Diceros bicornis minor: one gene and its partner. The protein of the gene in region 2 purifies or fractionates together with the protein of the main gene of each other region. This does not show direct contact. Links are inferred from orthologs where the notes say so. Each region holds a gene or a part of one and is shown on either strand. Other genes may lie near its edges.

Region 1 (7,754 bases), on a different chromosome or scaffold from region 2:
GAAAAGAGGAGGATTGGCAACAGATGTTGCCTCAGGGCCGATCTTCCCCCCACCACCAAAAAAAGAAAGAAAATAAGTTTAAAAAAAAAAGAGGATATCCAAATGAGCAACAAACTTACAAACAGGTTTTCAACCTCATTAGTAATCAAAGGGATGAAAATTAAAATAATAATGCAAGATCACTACATACCTGCCTGAATGATTAAAATAATAAAGATTGATAATACCAAGTATTAGTGGGGATATGGAATAACTGGTGGGAGTGTAAATTGGTTCAATTATTTTGGAAAGCAGGTTTGCAATTATCTACTAAAGTTGGTTTTACAATGTGAATGTATAAATGAAACCTACTTAGTCTGTAGCAGACATCTCTGGTACTTGTTGTCACATTCCCTTAGACCACCTCTGAGTTCAGCCGCAATTGTGGTGAACAGTTCCAACTCCCCTCATGCTGCTAGTGTGTCACCTCAAATGTACACTTCACATCTTTCCTTATTCTGCCTCTGGACCTTCTCTGACATCTGTAGTCACTTGCTAGACTTGCAAACAAAGCCACAACGTCTAGGGGAGTCAACAGCCCTGGGGATAACCCTCACTCAATGAGAGATGGAAGCCAGTAGACAAAAGCTCTCATCTTCCAGGTGGTCTATTCTGGGAGGCATTCTGTATGCTTCTCTGAAGTTCTGACAGAAGTGAGAACCTCAATAACACACGCTACATTGGCTTTCCCTTTCTCTCGTCTCATTCCAGTTTCCTAGGATTGGGAAAATAAACTACCTACACCGAAATAAACTACCTACACCCAAGTATTTATCTCAGGCTCTGATTTTGGGAGACCTAAACTCAGGTAGTTGAGACCAAGAGTTATCCCAGAGTAAAGACCCTCAGGATGGGATTCTGGACTGAATCACTCACTGATCATACGGCAACAAGGACTCTATTGTTGGTGGTAAGTTGAGCAGTGATAGACCCTGACATGCTGTGCTGTCCCAACAACCAAGCTCTTCACTCGCGGTAGACTGGAAGCACAAGTGGAAGGAGAACATCAGATTATGCAGTAACTGTAGCACAGGGATTCTCAACCTTTTTAATTTAATTTAATTTTAAATATTACCCTCCTAAGGAGAGAAATTAAATTAAATTTAAAGTATCCCAGGTGGGGGGTGGTCAAATGGTATGAACTTCCAGTTGTAAGATAAATAAGGTCCTAGGGACGTAATCTACAGCATGGTGACTATAGTAAACAATATTACTTGGTATATTTGAAAGTTGCTAAGAGAGTAAATCTTCAAAGTTCTCATCACAAGAAAAAAAAATTTGTAACTATATGTGGTGATGGATGTTAACAAAATTTATGGTGATAACCATTTCACAATATATACATGTATCAAGTCATTATGTTGTACACCTAAAACTAATACAATGTTATATGTCTATTATATCTCAATAAAAAAGTACATAAAAATAAAGCATCCCTGGCCAGAGAAGTTAAATACTAAGGAATAAGATTTTGTCAAATAGGGTTGAGATTTGGAGGCCACAAACCATTGTAATATCTAAGATATTTTTTCAGTTTTCACTTCCTTTGGGGAGATGTTGCCCCCATTGAGAATGCATGCTCTAGCACTTGAATGGTATGGGGGTAATGTTAATTAATTTCGTAGCATTGGCTTGATTTTGTTAACTATCTTAAAAGCCTTGAAGAAAGAGAATTTCAGGCTCAGGTCATCCACCTGTCAATTCAGGACCAGGTATGAAAGCCAAAAGAGCTCCATGGAAGATTTTTTAAAAACTCTCTTCTCTTGAAGCTGGAAAGCAGACTATGCTGAAAATCAGGCCCAGAATGTAATAGTTAGGGTGGCAGAGATCCTTTGACTGTTCTCTTAACGCTAAAGCCAGGGTTCTTGTAGGTGGGAGTGGGACCCCGAGGCTGGGATGGAGATATTTGGGTGGATGCAACTGAGAAGCTTGCACCTCTAGCAAGTAGCCCTCTCCCACTTGTTAGGATAGTGCAGCCGCCCTTGATCTGAGACTGTTTTAGTTTCCTATTGCTGTTGTAACCAATTATCACAAATGTAGTGCTTAAAACAACACATATTCATTATTTTATAGTTCTGGGGTTCAGAAGTCCAAAATGGGTGTTACTAGGCTAAAAGGTGTTGGCAGGGCCCTGTTCCTTTCTGGAGGCTCCAAGAAAGGATCCGTTTTCTTGCCTTTTCCAGCTTTTGGAGTTGTTTTTATTCCTTAGCTGGTAGCTCTCTTCCTCTGTCTTCCAAGGGTGAGCGGAGTGCTTCTCACATTGAATCACATCTCACATCTGACCTCTTCTGTAGTCTAATCGACTTTTTCCTCACTCTTCTGCCTCCCTTTTCCACTTTTAAGGAACCTTGTGACTACATTAAATCCATCTGGATAATCCAGAATAACCCCCTCATCTCAAGATCCTTAATTTAATTACACCTGCAAAATTCCTTTTGTCATGGAAGGTAACATACTCATAGGTTCTGGGGATTAGGATGTGAACATTTTTAGGCAGCCATTATTCTGCCTACACAGAGACCATGCAAAAACAGTTTCGTTTAGAATAATTCACTGTCGGTGTAAGTTATTTAATCCCCCTTTGTCTCCATTTCCTCATCAATAAAATGGGGGAATAACAGTAGTTTATCTCAAAGGGTTGTTAGAGGTTTAAAGGAGATAGTGCTTAGAATAGTATCTGGCACATAGTAAGCACTATGTGAACATCTATTAAATACATTTTTATAACATTGATTCTTACTATGTGTCAGACACTGGGGATCCAGATAGCATGGACAGGAATATGACTTGCTTTCGAGGGGCTCAGGGAGTCAGATACACAAGTACAGTTACCACACAGTGTGCTACACGCCATAAAAGGCAGGGAAGTACTACGGATTACAGCATTGTGAAGGCTCAGAGAAACTAAGAAATATTAGTCAAATGAATAAATGAACATGACATTTGAGCTGGACTTTGTAGAATGAATGAGTGTTGGCCAATGACATAAAGAGAGAAGAGCCCAGAGAAATGAAGAACTGTGTGTTCAAAGAACATTAAGTAGTATTTCAGTGTGGCTGGAGCAAAAGATAACATGTGTGAGAGGAAGCTGGAAAGGCTGTTGTTAAGCACCAAGGTTGTACAGTGCCAAGTTAAGGAGTTTGGACTTTATCCTAAAAGCAACAAAAGCCTTTCAGAGTGTTTAAACAGTATTTAAAAGTGATCATCATCAGATTTGTGGTTTTAAAAAGCTACCCTGTATGTAAGAATGGATTGGATTTGGAGAGGCTGAAACCTGCTCCAGTTGTCCAGGAGGTAGTGAGTGAAGAGAAGGGCAAGGACTCAAGAAATATTAAGGAGACTCTACAGGATTTGGGGACTAATTTGATAAAGGTGTTGAAAGAGGAAGAATGAGGGCTATGTCCATGTTTCTGGCTTAGGGGACTGCTGGATGGTGGTCCACTCACTGAGACCAGGAAACAGCATGAGTCACAAGTTTGGTGGAAAATGGTAATAGGAATAGCCAACATTCCCAAGGGTTTAATACGTGCTAAATTGTAGTTATTACTATTAGGGAAAAACTGGGGCTTAGAGAGATCAAATTAAGGATACTCAGGTACTACTTATTATGGAGAAATTGTGGCTTGGAAAGGTTAAGGTCCTATCACTAACATTTCTACAGCTGGGATTTGAACCAAGGCAATGATTCCCTTAGCCACTAACGCTGTTTTGGACTTGTGGAATTTGAGGTACAGTCGAGTATGCAAACGACGCTGTCCACGAGGCACTCGGAAATACAGAATCTGAGCTCAGGGGAAAGGTTTGGGTTGAATGTAGCCTCAGTGGTAGGAGAAAAACGGGAAAGGGAACCCATTTATTTCAAGATAGTTCAAACCTCCATTGTCATTTCTTTGTCTCCCTGGCCCTCCCCCCGCAAAGAAAGCAAATAGTATAATAAATGTCTGCCTTTGAGGTCACAGGAGATGAGGTAGTTTTCAAATTCAGCTTTTGGCAATGACCCAGAGGATTCTGTGGTGCTTTGTAACCCGAAGACCACAAAACCAGGGGATTAGCTGTCTTTTTTGACCCTGACTACACCACCAATGCCTCCAGAAATCGTCCCCAAACCTTCCCGGGGACAGGGCACGTCAAAAAAAGCCTGCACCGGCAGACAGTACGGGGTGAGAGGCGAGACGCGGGCGCAATGACGTCACGCGGTAGCCGGGTGATTCCCCACCATCTGGCGTCATGCGCCGATGACGTCATTCAAGGCGCTCCCCATCCCCCTCGCCTGGGTCGGCCTCGCTCACGTGTCTGTCCGGTCCTCCCCGCCCCCTCCCACCTGCGGGAGGCGGGGCTGGCCGGGCTCCGCCGGCGCCGAGGCCTCGCGGGGGAGGGGCGGGGGCCGGGGGAGGGGCGGGGGCCGGGGGAGAGGAGGTCGGCCCGGGCCGGCGGCATACAATAGCGCGGGGCGGGCGGGGGAGGCGACCCGGCCCCGGCTGCATCTGGAGCCCAAGGTGCCGGCAGCACAGGAGACGCCCCTCATTGCGTCCCTCGCGCCTCCCTCACCGCTCTGCCGTCCTACTCCACAGACGCTTCCCCTCGGACTCCTGTCCCCTCTTTCACGCGCTCTCAAAACCCTTCAAAGAACCGTCTCCCCACCTCCTCCCCCAGAGTCCGCCCGCGCCCCCTCAAGGCCCCACCCCCCACCGCACCCCCTCAGCCTCGTCGCCCAGCTCCCTCCGGCCCGCCTCTCGGTCGCTGATCCCCCCTGTCCTGAGGGGACTCCCGGCACGAGCGGGGTGGGGGAGGCGTCGAGCGCGCGGCGGCGGCGGGAGGGAGAAAGTGAAGCGGCTCCCCGTGCGCTCCCTTCCCGGCTCGGCCGCCGCCACCGGCTGGAGGAGGAGGAGGAGCCGAGTAGAGCCGAGTGAGCGCGGAAGGTGAGAGCCGGCCTCCCGCCCGGTACCCCCGGCGGCCGGGCTGCCCGGCGGGGCGCGGGCGTGCTCGTGGGCGCGGGCGCGGGGTGAGGGGCCTGGGCCCATTCATTCCGCGCGCCGGGGTCGGGCGGGCGGCCGGGGGCCCCAGGTGAGGCAAGGCGGGGCTGGCCGCTCCTGTCGGACCAACAAAGGCCCCCTGCACCCCCGGCGCGGCCGCCGGGCTCAGGCGCTGGGGACCCCGGGGACCCGGGAGGGGGCAGGGGAGGGGCCGGGAGCCCCGACAGGTCCCGGGCGCGGAGCGACTCCCTCGCGAACTTTGCAGTCGTCCGGCGCTAACCCTGGGCCCCCACGGGGCAGCCGAGCACAGGGGCGTCCGACTCATTCTGCCTGGAAAACGCACCCCTGTCCGGGCCTGGGACTCACCTGGAGGGTTCAGCTCCTTGAAAAACACGACTGGATGGTGCTTGGGTTTGCAGCCCCTCCCCCACCCCGGGTACTCGGCAACTTGTGGAGTTAAAAACACAGGGAAAGGAGAATTATAGCTATTTTATGTTCCTTTTTCCATTTCAAAAGACATTATTATAGCCTTTACTGTCTTGAATATTTTAACAGCAAAAAATGCTGGGAGTGTTTTGGAAGAATACTTGAGAAGTTTTGGGTGTTGGGAGCAAAGTGCTTGTTTGTTAAACCCCTTGGATAACTGTCTTAGACTTTCCCCTCCAGAACTGTGAAAGGTGAAGGGAAGAGTTAGTACTACGGTTACCAATAAAAATTCAAATGCATTAGTCTAGCCTTTATTTTAAGAATTGTTCCTGAGAAAATTGTTTTAGTTTTTCCTCTTGTGTTTTTGGACTCTCACAACTTTGTCAGGAGAAAACAGTCAACAGTACACGGTACATAGATGCCTCATTGGTCTCACCTTGTGACTTCACCTACTTCCTGTGTGACCTTGGGCAGGTCACTTCCAGCCTTAAAGCTCCGGGGGTTTGCATTTATGCCCTAGAAACAGGCAGGTAACAAGCGCCTACTCAGCCTTCAAGACTCCACTGAAGAACCCTCTCCACCCCATATGAAGTCTTTGCTGGCATTCACCCCCAAACTACTCAGGCAAAACTGACTTCTCATTGAGGCCCTCAGAGGCCTGGTAGGGTTTCTACTACAGCACTTGTAACATTCTTTGTTCCTATTTGGGAAATCTTAAACCAGGTGCATATGAAATCCACTTCACCTCACCTAGAAACTCCACTGCTCCAAAACGGTTTTGGGAACATAAACCCAGAAACAGTCTCTGAAGCTTGTCTATAACCTTACCTATAGGGGCTCCTAGGTCTGGCTGGTAAATTTGCTTTATTCAGTCATTCATTTACCCAACATTACTGGAGTCTGGAGAGCTACTCTGTTTCAGGTCTCCTGCTAGAACTATGGGGGCTGTTCAGACATTCCTTGTCTTTATAAAGAGCTCAAAGTCTAGTGGGTGAGGTCGGCATGTAAACAATGAAGGCCTGCCCTAATCTCTGGGGGACTCCCGTTGTACAGGGAGTAGGGTGCAATAATTGAGGCTGCTGGACCTGCTTTACAAGTCTTGTCCTGGCCAAAGTGAGTCCTGCAGGGAAGGTGGTGACCTGTCTCTCATTTATAAGACAAAAAGCTTGTTCAGTTCAATTCAATATCGTTTACTAAGCACATTATGAAGCCCCGTGTTAGGCTTGGAGGAAGCAGTGCTTTCTGAAAGGCGGGCACTATGTCTCCAGAGAGATCTTTATAAAACAAAACCAATCACGTTTTTTCTTCCCACCCTTGACTAGTCATTACCTAAAGATAAGTTTTCAAACTCTTGAACATGAATAAGAAGCTCTCAGAGATCAGACTACGGCCTCCCTTTGCCCCTTTACTTTCTGTTAACTCCCCTGCCATCCTCTTTCTCATTTCTACTTTGGCACGTGCTGTTCTTTCTGTTCAGAATGCCGGCCTCCTACCCCCTACCTGTCGGTGGATAAGTGCTTGTTGGACTTCTGGGCAGCAGCACCTTAATCTCTTCTCCTATTACTTCCTTAGAATGAGTCGCTCTTCCATCCTCTGGTTCATGTATATACCACTCTTACAGCTCTCCAGCCCTCTATTGCAATTATTTGAGTTTATGCCTGTCTTTTCATTAACCTGTGAATTTCTTGAGGGCAGGATCTGTTTAGTTTTAGTGCCTAGCAAAGTTCCTAGCACTGAGTAAGTGTTTGAAATGAATGAATGAATGTATGAATGAAGAAGCAAGTCAAGACCCATGAGACAGAGGTTACCTGATCCTTTGGGTTAGAACAATAGCTCCAAGTGTTGTGCCTGCACCAGCAACATCAACATAATCTGGGAATTTGTTAGAATTGCAAATGATTTGTCCCATCCCAGACCTACAACTGAAAAACTCTGGGGTTGGTGCCCCAAAACCTCTGCTTTAACAAGCCCTCCAGGTGATTCTGATATCTGCTAAAGTTTGAGAACCACTATGTTAAAAGATCTGCTCTTGATAAGACCAGCTTCTTGCCAGGTCCCTCCCTCCCTTCTTTTTTCTCATAGCACTTACTGCTTGACATTCCATTCCATTCCATTCTATTCTATTCCATTGCATTCGTTTGTCATCTGTCTTTTGCCGCTAGAATGAAAGCTTCCTGAGAGCAGAGAATTTTGTCTGGTGTGTTCACAACTGTAATCCCAGTGCCTAGAATAGTGACTGCATATAGCAGGCGCTCAGGTATTCGTTGAATGAATAATATGATCTAGTATCGTTTATTGCCAGCTGCTACATTGGGG
Region 2 (7,392 bases):
CACAGGCAATAAGATACGGACTGTGTCTGGTTTTTCCTGCTCCGGATGAAGGAGAAGCGGAGGTGCGTCAGTGGTAGGGTAAGGAGAGAACAGAAGAGGCTGGGCCGCAGCTCATGGCACTGGGGCCACTGCCAAACCAGTGTTCAGCTAGGGATCTAGGCTGCCCAGTCTCGTGTCACCTTGAGGTTTGAAAACTACAGCTCTGAATGTGCTGTCCCAGAGAAGGTGAGCAATGTGGAGGTCCTGGCTTGGTTGAGGCACCTGGCGACAGTGGAAAGCCTACTTCTTAAGTGCAGATGGTCATGTGACAACAGCTCAGAAAGTGAGACGGGCACTCTTCTCTGCCTACAAAGTGCCCCCAGCACTTTCTCTACCTCTAGCAAGCACTGGAGAGACTCCACGTTTATTAACTGTCACCTTGGCACACTCAAGTGACGGCACCCTGGGGCCTCAGAGAGCACAGCGAGACTTCAGTGACTTGAGCACCGTGCCAGGGGGATTGGGTGATGACGAGCCCCCGGAGCTCTTTGGGGGGACACCCCAAGGGGGACCTCCTCCCCACTGCCTGGCTGTATCATCCAAGTGCGTGGTCCTCAAGACAAGAACAAATGTTCATGATTTGAAAAGACTAAGTCCCAGGTCATTCACTCCTCCAGCCTAGGACAGCTCGACCGTGGCTTCCAGGGAGGCAGTGGCCCTAGTGAGTGAGCCCACAGCTTAGGAAGGGAAATATTAACACTTACTGACACAAACTCCATCTTTCTCTTGAGCAAATTTCTTAAATATTTGGCTTGTTGACCTTTAATAAAATGATTATAAGATATCTCCAACTTACTTTGAGAAATGATTACAAAGCATCATTGATAATTTTTAATATAAACCAGAAAGTAAATACAGTCAGAAACTCCTGTAAGATAAGAAGCGTTCTTGACTATTTTCCCCTGTCCTGCCCACATAAAGCTGGGCCAAACCCTGTTTTATTACTGCAGAGCTATCTCCCCACCCCCCAGACCCCTCCGAGAGGGGCCAACAGCAGGGGTGTGGCTCCTTCGTGAGGCTTTAGAACAACCCAGTTATTGAGGGAGGTTATTTGGAGACCTTTAAAAGGGCATTTCCTTTCCCAGCACTGAGCAGCAACAAGATACTGACCTGTCCTGCCGTGTCACAGAGCTGGAGTCTCACAGGCCGCCCATCCACGGACACCACAGCTTAAAAACAAGACCAACATGACCATCAGTGGGTGGCTTTTAAGCCCTTTCAGAAGAATGACAGTTTTAGCTCGCACTACCATTCTTTCTCCAAAGCCTTCAGCGCCTCTTCTGGGTCCCCTAGGAATTAAAGACTTGCCCAAAACAAGGAGTCATGGAGGCATTTCTGTACACAAAACCCCCAGGGCTGGCAATTCATCCTTTGCCACAGATGAGGCGGCAAACCCCTGAGCCCTTTGATGGCACCCCAGAAGAGACTGCGCCTTTCTCCCAGCCCAGGAGATTTATTTTCCTGTCACACTAGTTTCAAAACACCTAAAAAGAACACTGGGGGGTAAGTGGAAACCAACTTTACAGTTTTAAATCAGTGGAAAACCTCACAAATAATTGTTTTCCCTTGGGAAACATTCTGAGACTTCAGGGTGTATCATAAAATTGTAGCTTGTTTTGGGAACATGTGCAAACATAGGCTGCTGGCATCGTCCTGTTTATAAAAGTGGGCACTGCTTCTCTCTCCGTGTCAGCTCAAAGAGGACTGAAAAGAAAAAGAAAGGAAAGGACTCGAGCCCACCTTTCCACTTGTATGGGGCATGTGGGCAGGGGCCTGCATCAGGGCTCGGCCTGGAGGTTTCTACTTGGATTAAGCCTTCAGTTTCATCTCAATACAACTTTCTAAATTGTTTATAAATGTTTATACTCATCAGTTGGGAGAAAAAAGGGAAAGAAAGAATACCCTTTAGGTGGGAAACCCACTCGCACAGCACTGTTTTATCTAGGGTACCTTTGAGGGGGAAGAAAGCAAGCCCTTGCCATCACGACTTTTTAAGAAGTCAAGACGCAATTTTTTTTTTTTTTTAAGAGCAAGAGAGAGTAAGTGTTTCACACTAGCTTCTGTGGATTTTAATTTTTTCTTAAATTTCAAAAAGACATGAAAAATCATGATAAAGAATTTCTTTATCTTTGTATTTACTAAACCAAAAAACATAGCACCCCATACATAAGAGCTTTACGTAGTTCAAAGAGACACTGAAAAGATACTAAGAATCGCAAACTGGGCCAGTGCGGGAGGTGGCAGTGCGGCAGTGGAGGCAGGGGAGGGGATTCAGAAGAAAGAAATCGATCGTGTTTACTCTTCCGGTTGAATCCAAACCTAAGCCTTCACCGGTGCCATTAACGCTATTTTCACTAAATCAACTATTTTACCGTCTCCGCGGCTCTTTAAAGTGGAGAAGCCCCTTGAGAAGGCAGTCGCCGAAAGGAAAGGATTGACACTCGGGGCCACAGGTAATGGCACCTTCCGATTGAAAGTGGCAGCGGCGCCAGCAATGTCGACCTGACGCAACTTCTGTACGCGGCAAACTGACCGGGCCACCTGGACTCTACCTGTTTGATTCTGGCTCGTCTGTGACTAAATTGCGAGATGACTTTTTTTTCATAGCCTCTGACTCCCGGACCCCGCCCTCTCCTCAAGCTCTGGTTTTGGGGCTCCCCACTCCTCCGCGGTCCCTCAGTTTGCTTCGCGCTCGCCCCGTCCCCGAGGCTCGAGAAATGTCCCGCACTCTGCACTGGGTCCGCTTCCCGGCCAGAGCCGGGCCCGGGGCCCTGCAGCCCCCTTGGCGCCCCGAGACCCTCGCGCCGCGCTCCCTCTCTCGGCACCGTGTCCGTCAGCATCGCGTCCCCCGCCGGCCCCCGCCCCCGTGCCCCGCTCACCCGAGAAGTTGTCGAAGGCGGTGGGGATGTACTCGGTGGGGTAGCCGTTGGTGGTGTAGCTCACCACGAGGCTCGTCTTGCCCACGGCGCCGTCACCGACCAGCACGCACTTGATGCCGCGCCCCTCGCCACCGCCCGCGCGCCCCCGGCCACCTGGCGCCCCGGGTCCGCGCCCCCCGCGCCCCCCGCGCTCTCGGCGCGGCGGCACGGGCGGCGCCTCGCAGCGGCCCGGGAATGCGGGGTCCCCCTGCTGCGGGGGCATGGGTCCGCGCGCTCGAACGTGCAGACGCGCGCCAGCGGGACCCGGCCCGACCGTCCCTCCGTCCTGGACTTCTCCGGGAGGGAGGAGCTGTCACCGACCACTCCGGGACCGTCCCTGGGCCCCGAGAGCGGCGCTTCCAGGACGCACGGCTGCCAGACAAAGGCGGCCGCGGAGGGTCGCGGCTCTGTGCTCCGGAGGCGCCACCCGGCTCTGTTCCGCGCGGTCGGAGGACTGCAGGCCGAGCGCCGTGGAGCCCGAGCGTTCTGTCTCCTCCCGGCTTCCCGGCGACACGACGCGTGGGGGGCGGGCGGGGAGGGGAAAGAGGCGGGTCCGGCCCGGGAGCTCCGTCCCCGAGCCGAGGCGACAGCGCCCCCAGCCTGCGCGCTGGGCCCCTGCACCCGCGCCAGAGCCGGTGCCACGCCGGGCAGGCGGGGACCTCGGACGGCGGCTCGAGGGACCCCCGAACACCAGCTCCGGGGGCCCCTGAACACCCACTCCGGGGGCGGCGCCTGAAGGAGCCGGTCTGGCCGAGGGCAGCTTCCTCCCCAGCGCCAGAAACTGACACCATCGCCGGACTGGCCCGGGCGGCGCCCCCTGATTGCGCTCACGCGGGCGGGGAAGCCTGAGCTTCCCGCTGTTCCTCTCGCCGCGCGCCCCACTCGCCCCCACGCCCTCACTTTCCCTTCTCGGTCGGAACCTGAGCTGTGGGGTCCCTCTCTGGCCACGGCGCTCCACCCAAGAGGGGAAATAAAGTGTCTTGGGGACATGACGTCTGAAAGAGATGAATTAACAGGCAATTTTATTTTTTTTAAATTGTAGCTTCAGTCCATCGTGTGATTTTTCTTCTTCTAAAATAATTTCTTCTCATATCATTTGAGAGTAGAAGGGTGCCAGGTCCATGGTTAATGCTCGTTTGACTTTCTCTTTGGCATGCTATGAAGCAGCAAATTTCTTTATAGCCCCAATTCCTTCATTTACTTAAATGTAATTTGGTGACATTAAAATTACCTGAAAAAAAATTCCATTTATCTCTGACTCCTTCCTCTCTGCCTTCCTCCAACATTTAGTCAACAGTCCACTCGGAAAGCAGGGAAGCGTCCCTGGGCCCAGTCAGGACACAAAGGCTCCTCCGGGTTTACAGTGCAGTGCGAGGAGAGGCACACATAATCAACGCAAATACTGGTACTACAGCCAAGAATAATAAAAATAACCACAGCTAATAAATATTCAGCCTTTATCATGTGCCAGACACTGTTGTAAGCACTCTGCCTGAACTAATTCCTCTGATCTTAACATCACTTATCCCCATTTTACAGATGAGAAAATCTAAAGACAGTGATATTAAAGTGCTCAGGTTCCACAAGCTAGTAAGTGGCAGTGACAGGATCCAAAGGCAAATCGTCTAGCTCCAGAGCGGAAGCCCTTTACCAGGGTCCCGAAAGCATGAACAAGCCGTGTCATAAACTCAGACTTGGAAGCATGGCCATGGTGGGAAAGCAGAGGTGGATTTATGAAGAGGCTAGATGTTGAATCCAGGGCACTTTGCTTGCAGAGAACCCCTCCAAGGCCCTGGGGACCCTAGCAATATGAACACGTGGTTATATGTTTTTGTAAATCTTACAAAATAATATATTTTAACCACCAACAGTTAAGTCCGCTGTCTCATTCAACTCTAACTTCTCCTCGTATTGAGTGGCTTTGAAGTGGCAGTGGACATTTTAGGGATCAAGCCAAGGAAGGTGAAGTTGGGGAGACATTTTGTTTGGGTTTAATGGATACAGAGCCAGGACTAAGGTGAGATAAAAGAGTTGCCAAGGGAGCAAAAAGGTTTTTTTTGTTGTTGAGGAAGATTGGCCCTGGGCTAACATCTGTGCCCATCTTCCTCTACTTTATATGTGGGACACTCCCACAGCATGGCTTGATAAGCGGTGCACATGTCTACGCTGGGGATCCAAACCTGCGAACCCTGGGCCACCAAAGCAGAGCACGCGAACTTAACCACTGCGCCTCTGGCCCGGCCCCGGGAGCAAAATTTAAGGGGGCCAACCTTGTACTTGGCTGACCCTGAGAATGAGCCAGCCTTTAAGTGTTGAGCCTCAGGCACCTGGGTTGCCTCTCCCTAACCCTGCCCTTGATGGGATATGTTTATGTCATTTACAGCTCCTGTGTGTAGTTATGTTATTGCTGTGTAGGAATGGCTACCAGTGGCACGCTTGCTACCCTCTGTGGAGTCACGTTGGTGTCCACTGAACTGTCCTATGGTCCCCAGCACTGGAAGGGTTCCAGTAGCAAAGGAGGAACAGATTTTGAGATGGATGGAGCCAGAAGCTAGTCTGCAGTAATTCTTCCCATCATAAAACACACAGTATTGTTAGAGAGGGTTTGGCTCTCTTGACTACACCTGGTCAAAACGGAAGTTGTCTCCTGTCAGGAATATACTCTAAATGCAGCATATGCAGTTATAAATGCACCATACACTTTTGGAGGAAATCGCATGACAGAGAATTGATGTGAATTCCTACATTTGTGAAGACACAAACCTATAGTAGTATCTCAAACAGTAAGTGTACCTGCATGTTAAGTACATTTCCATTCTTCTCATAGAAAACATATCACAAAATTACAAAAGGGAAGGAATGATTGAAAGATACGCGGCTAGGAAGATATGGGGAGATGTTGTTCAAGGGGCACAAAATTTCAGTTATGCAAAAAAAAGTTCTGGAGATCTAATGTGCAACAGTGTGATTGTAGTTAACAATACCATATTATATACTTGAAATTTACTAACAGGGTAGGTCTTACGTGTTCTCAGCACACACACACACACACACACACACACACACACACAAAAGTAACTAAGTGAGGTGATGGATACGTTAATTACCTTGATTAGAGTGAATATTTCACAATGTATTCATATATCAAATTATCAAATTGTACTCCTTAAATATATACAACTTTTAATTGTCAACTATACCTCAGTAAAGTTGAGGGGGTAAGGGTATACAGCCAAAAAAATGTAAAAAAAAATAATATTGTCAAGGTATGTCAGCCAGTTTATTAAAAAGTTTTCTTGTGGATTTTTGTGAAGTTTATGGTGTTTGTCAGCCTTTTAAATTTTACAGCTTGTTGTGACACATTTCTCATTTTAAATCAATATTTATTTTGTACCTAATTTTCTATTCTTAAATTTTTATACTTTCTTTTAAAGAAGGTCCCCAAATTTGATAAGCTTCAGGCCCTACCAAATGTGGCTCTACCCTGACAACTGGCAAGATGTTAGTTTTTGTATCCTATAGCCTCCGACTCTTGCTTTACTCTCTTTTATCAAAAAAAAAAAAAAATTGGGGGTCAGCCCGGTGGCATAGCAGTTATCACGCTCCACTTCAGTGGCCTGGGGTTCCCAGGTTCAGATCTCAGGCATGGACCTACACATTGCTTATCAAGCCACCCTGTGGTGGCAGCCCGTATAAAGTAGAAGAAGATGGGCATGGACGTTAGCCCAGGGCCAATCTTCCTCAGCGAAAAAGAGGAAGATTGGCAACAGATGTTAGCTCAGGGCTAATCTTCCTCAAAAAAAAAAATCTGTTTAATTTATTTAAACTAAAAAAAAAAAAAAAAACAGTTCACCCATTTCTTCCACCCCCCTACACCTTATCTCTTGCAACAACCAATCTGTTCTCTCTATCTATGAGCTTGTTTTGTTGTTGTTGTTTTAGACTCCACATATAAGAGAGATCATAGAGTATTTGTCTTTCTCTGTCTGACTTATTTCACTTAGTGTAACGCCCCCGAGGTCCATCCATGTTGTTGCAAATGGCAAGATTTCCTTCTATTTTATGGCTGAATAAGATTCCATTGCATATATATGCCACAATTTCTTTATCCAGCCATCCATCAATGGACATTTAGGTTGTTTCCATATTTTGGCTATTGTAAATAATGCTGCAGAGAACATGGAGGTGTATATATCTTTTCAAATTAGTGTTTTCGTTTTCTTCAGATAAATACCCAGAAGTGGAATTGCTGGATCATATGGTAGTTCTATTTTTAATTTTTTGAGGAACCTCCATACTGTTTTCCACCGTGGCTGTACCAATTTACATTCTCACCAACAGTGCACAAGTGTTCCCTTTTCTCCACATCCTCGCCAACACATGTTATTTCTTGTCTTTTGAGAATAGCCATTCTAACAGGTGTGAGGTGATAGCT

What was found. The genes of interacting proteins can lie anywhere in the genome.
Region 1: the proteins of RHOU (region 2) and PAK1 purify together in Homo sapiens (co-immunoprecipitation; 5 studies listed by BioGRID and IntAct, with this or other methods). This does not show direct contact. The link is inferred for Diceros bicornis minor from reciprocal best matches to the Homo sapiens genes RHOU and PAK1.

Annotation. Positions count from the first base shown.
Region 1 is NC_080746.1:53,894,311-53,902,064, forward strand, and holds the start of PAK1 (serine/threonine-protein kinase PAK 1), read left to right. Parts: upstream 1-4,561; 5' UTR 4,562-4,958; intron 4,959-7,754. UniProt on the Homo sapiens protein: Protein kinase involved in intracellular signaling pathways downstream of integrins and receptor-type kinases that plays an important role in cytoskeleton dynamics, in cell adhesion, migration, proliferation, apoptosis, mitosis, and in vesicle-mediated transport processes.
Region 2 is NC_080745.1:25,743,991-25,751,382, reverse strand, and holds the start of RHOU (rho-related GTP-binding protein RhoU), read right to left. Parts: upstream 3,459-7,392; 5' UTR 3,181-3,458; coding exon 2,919-3,180; intron 1,209-2,918; coding exon 1,150-1,208; intron 1-1,149. UniProt on the Homo sapiens protein: Binds to and activates protein kinase PAK1. Plays a role in the regulation of cell morphology, cytoskeletal organization and focal adhesion assembly during cell migration. Also stimulates quiescent cells to reenter the cell cycle.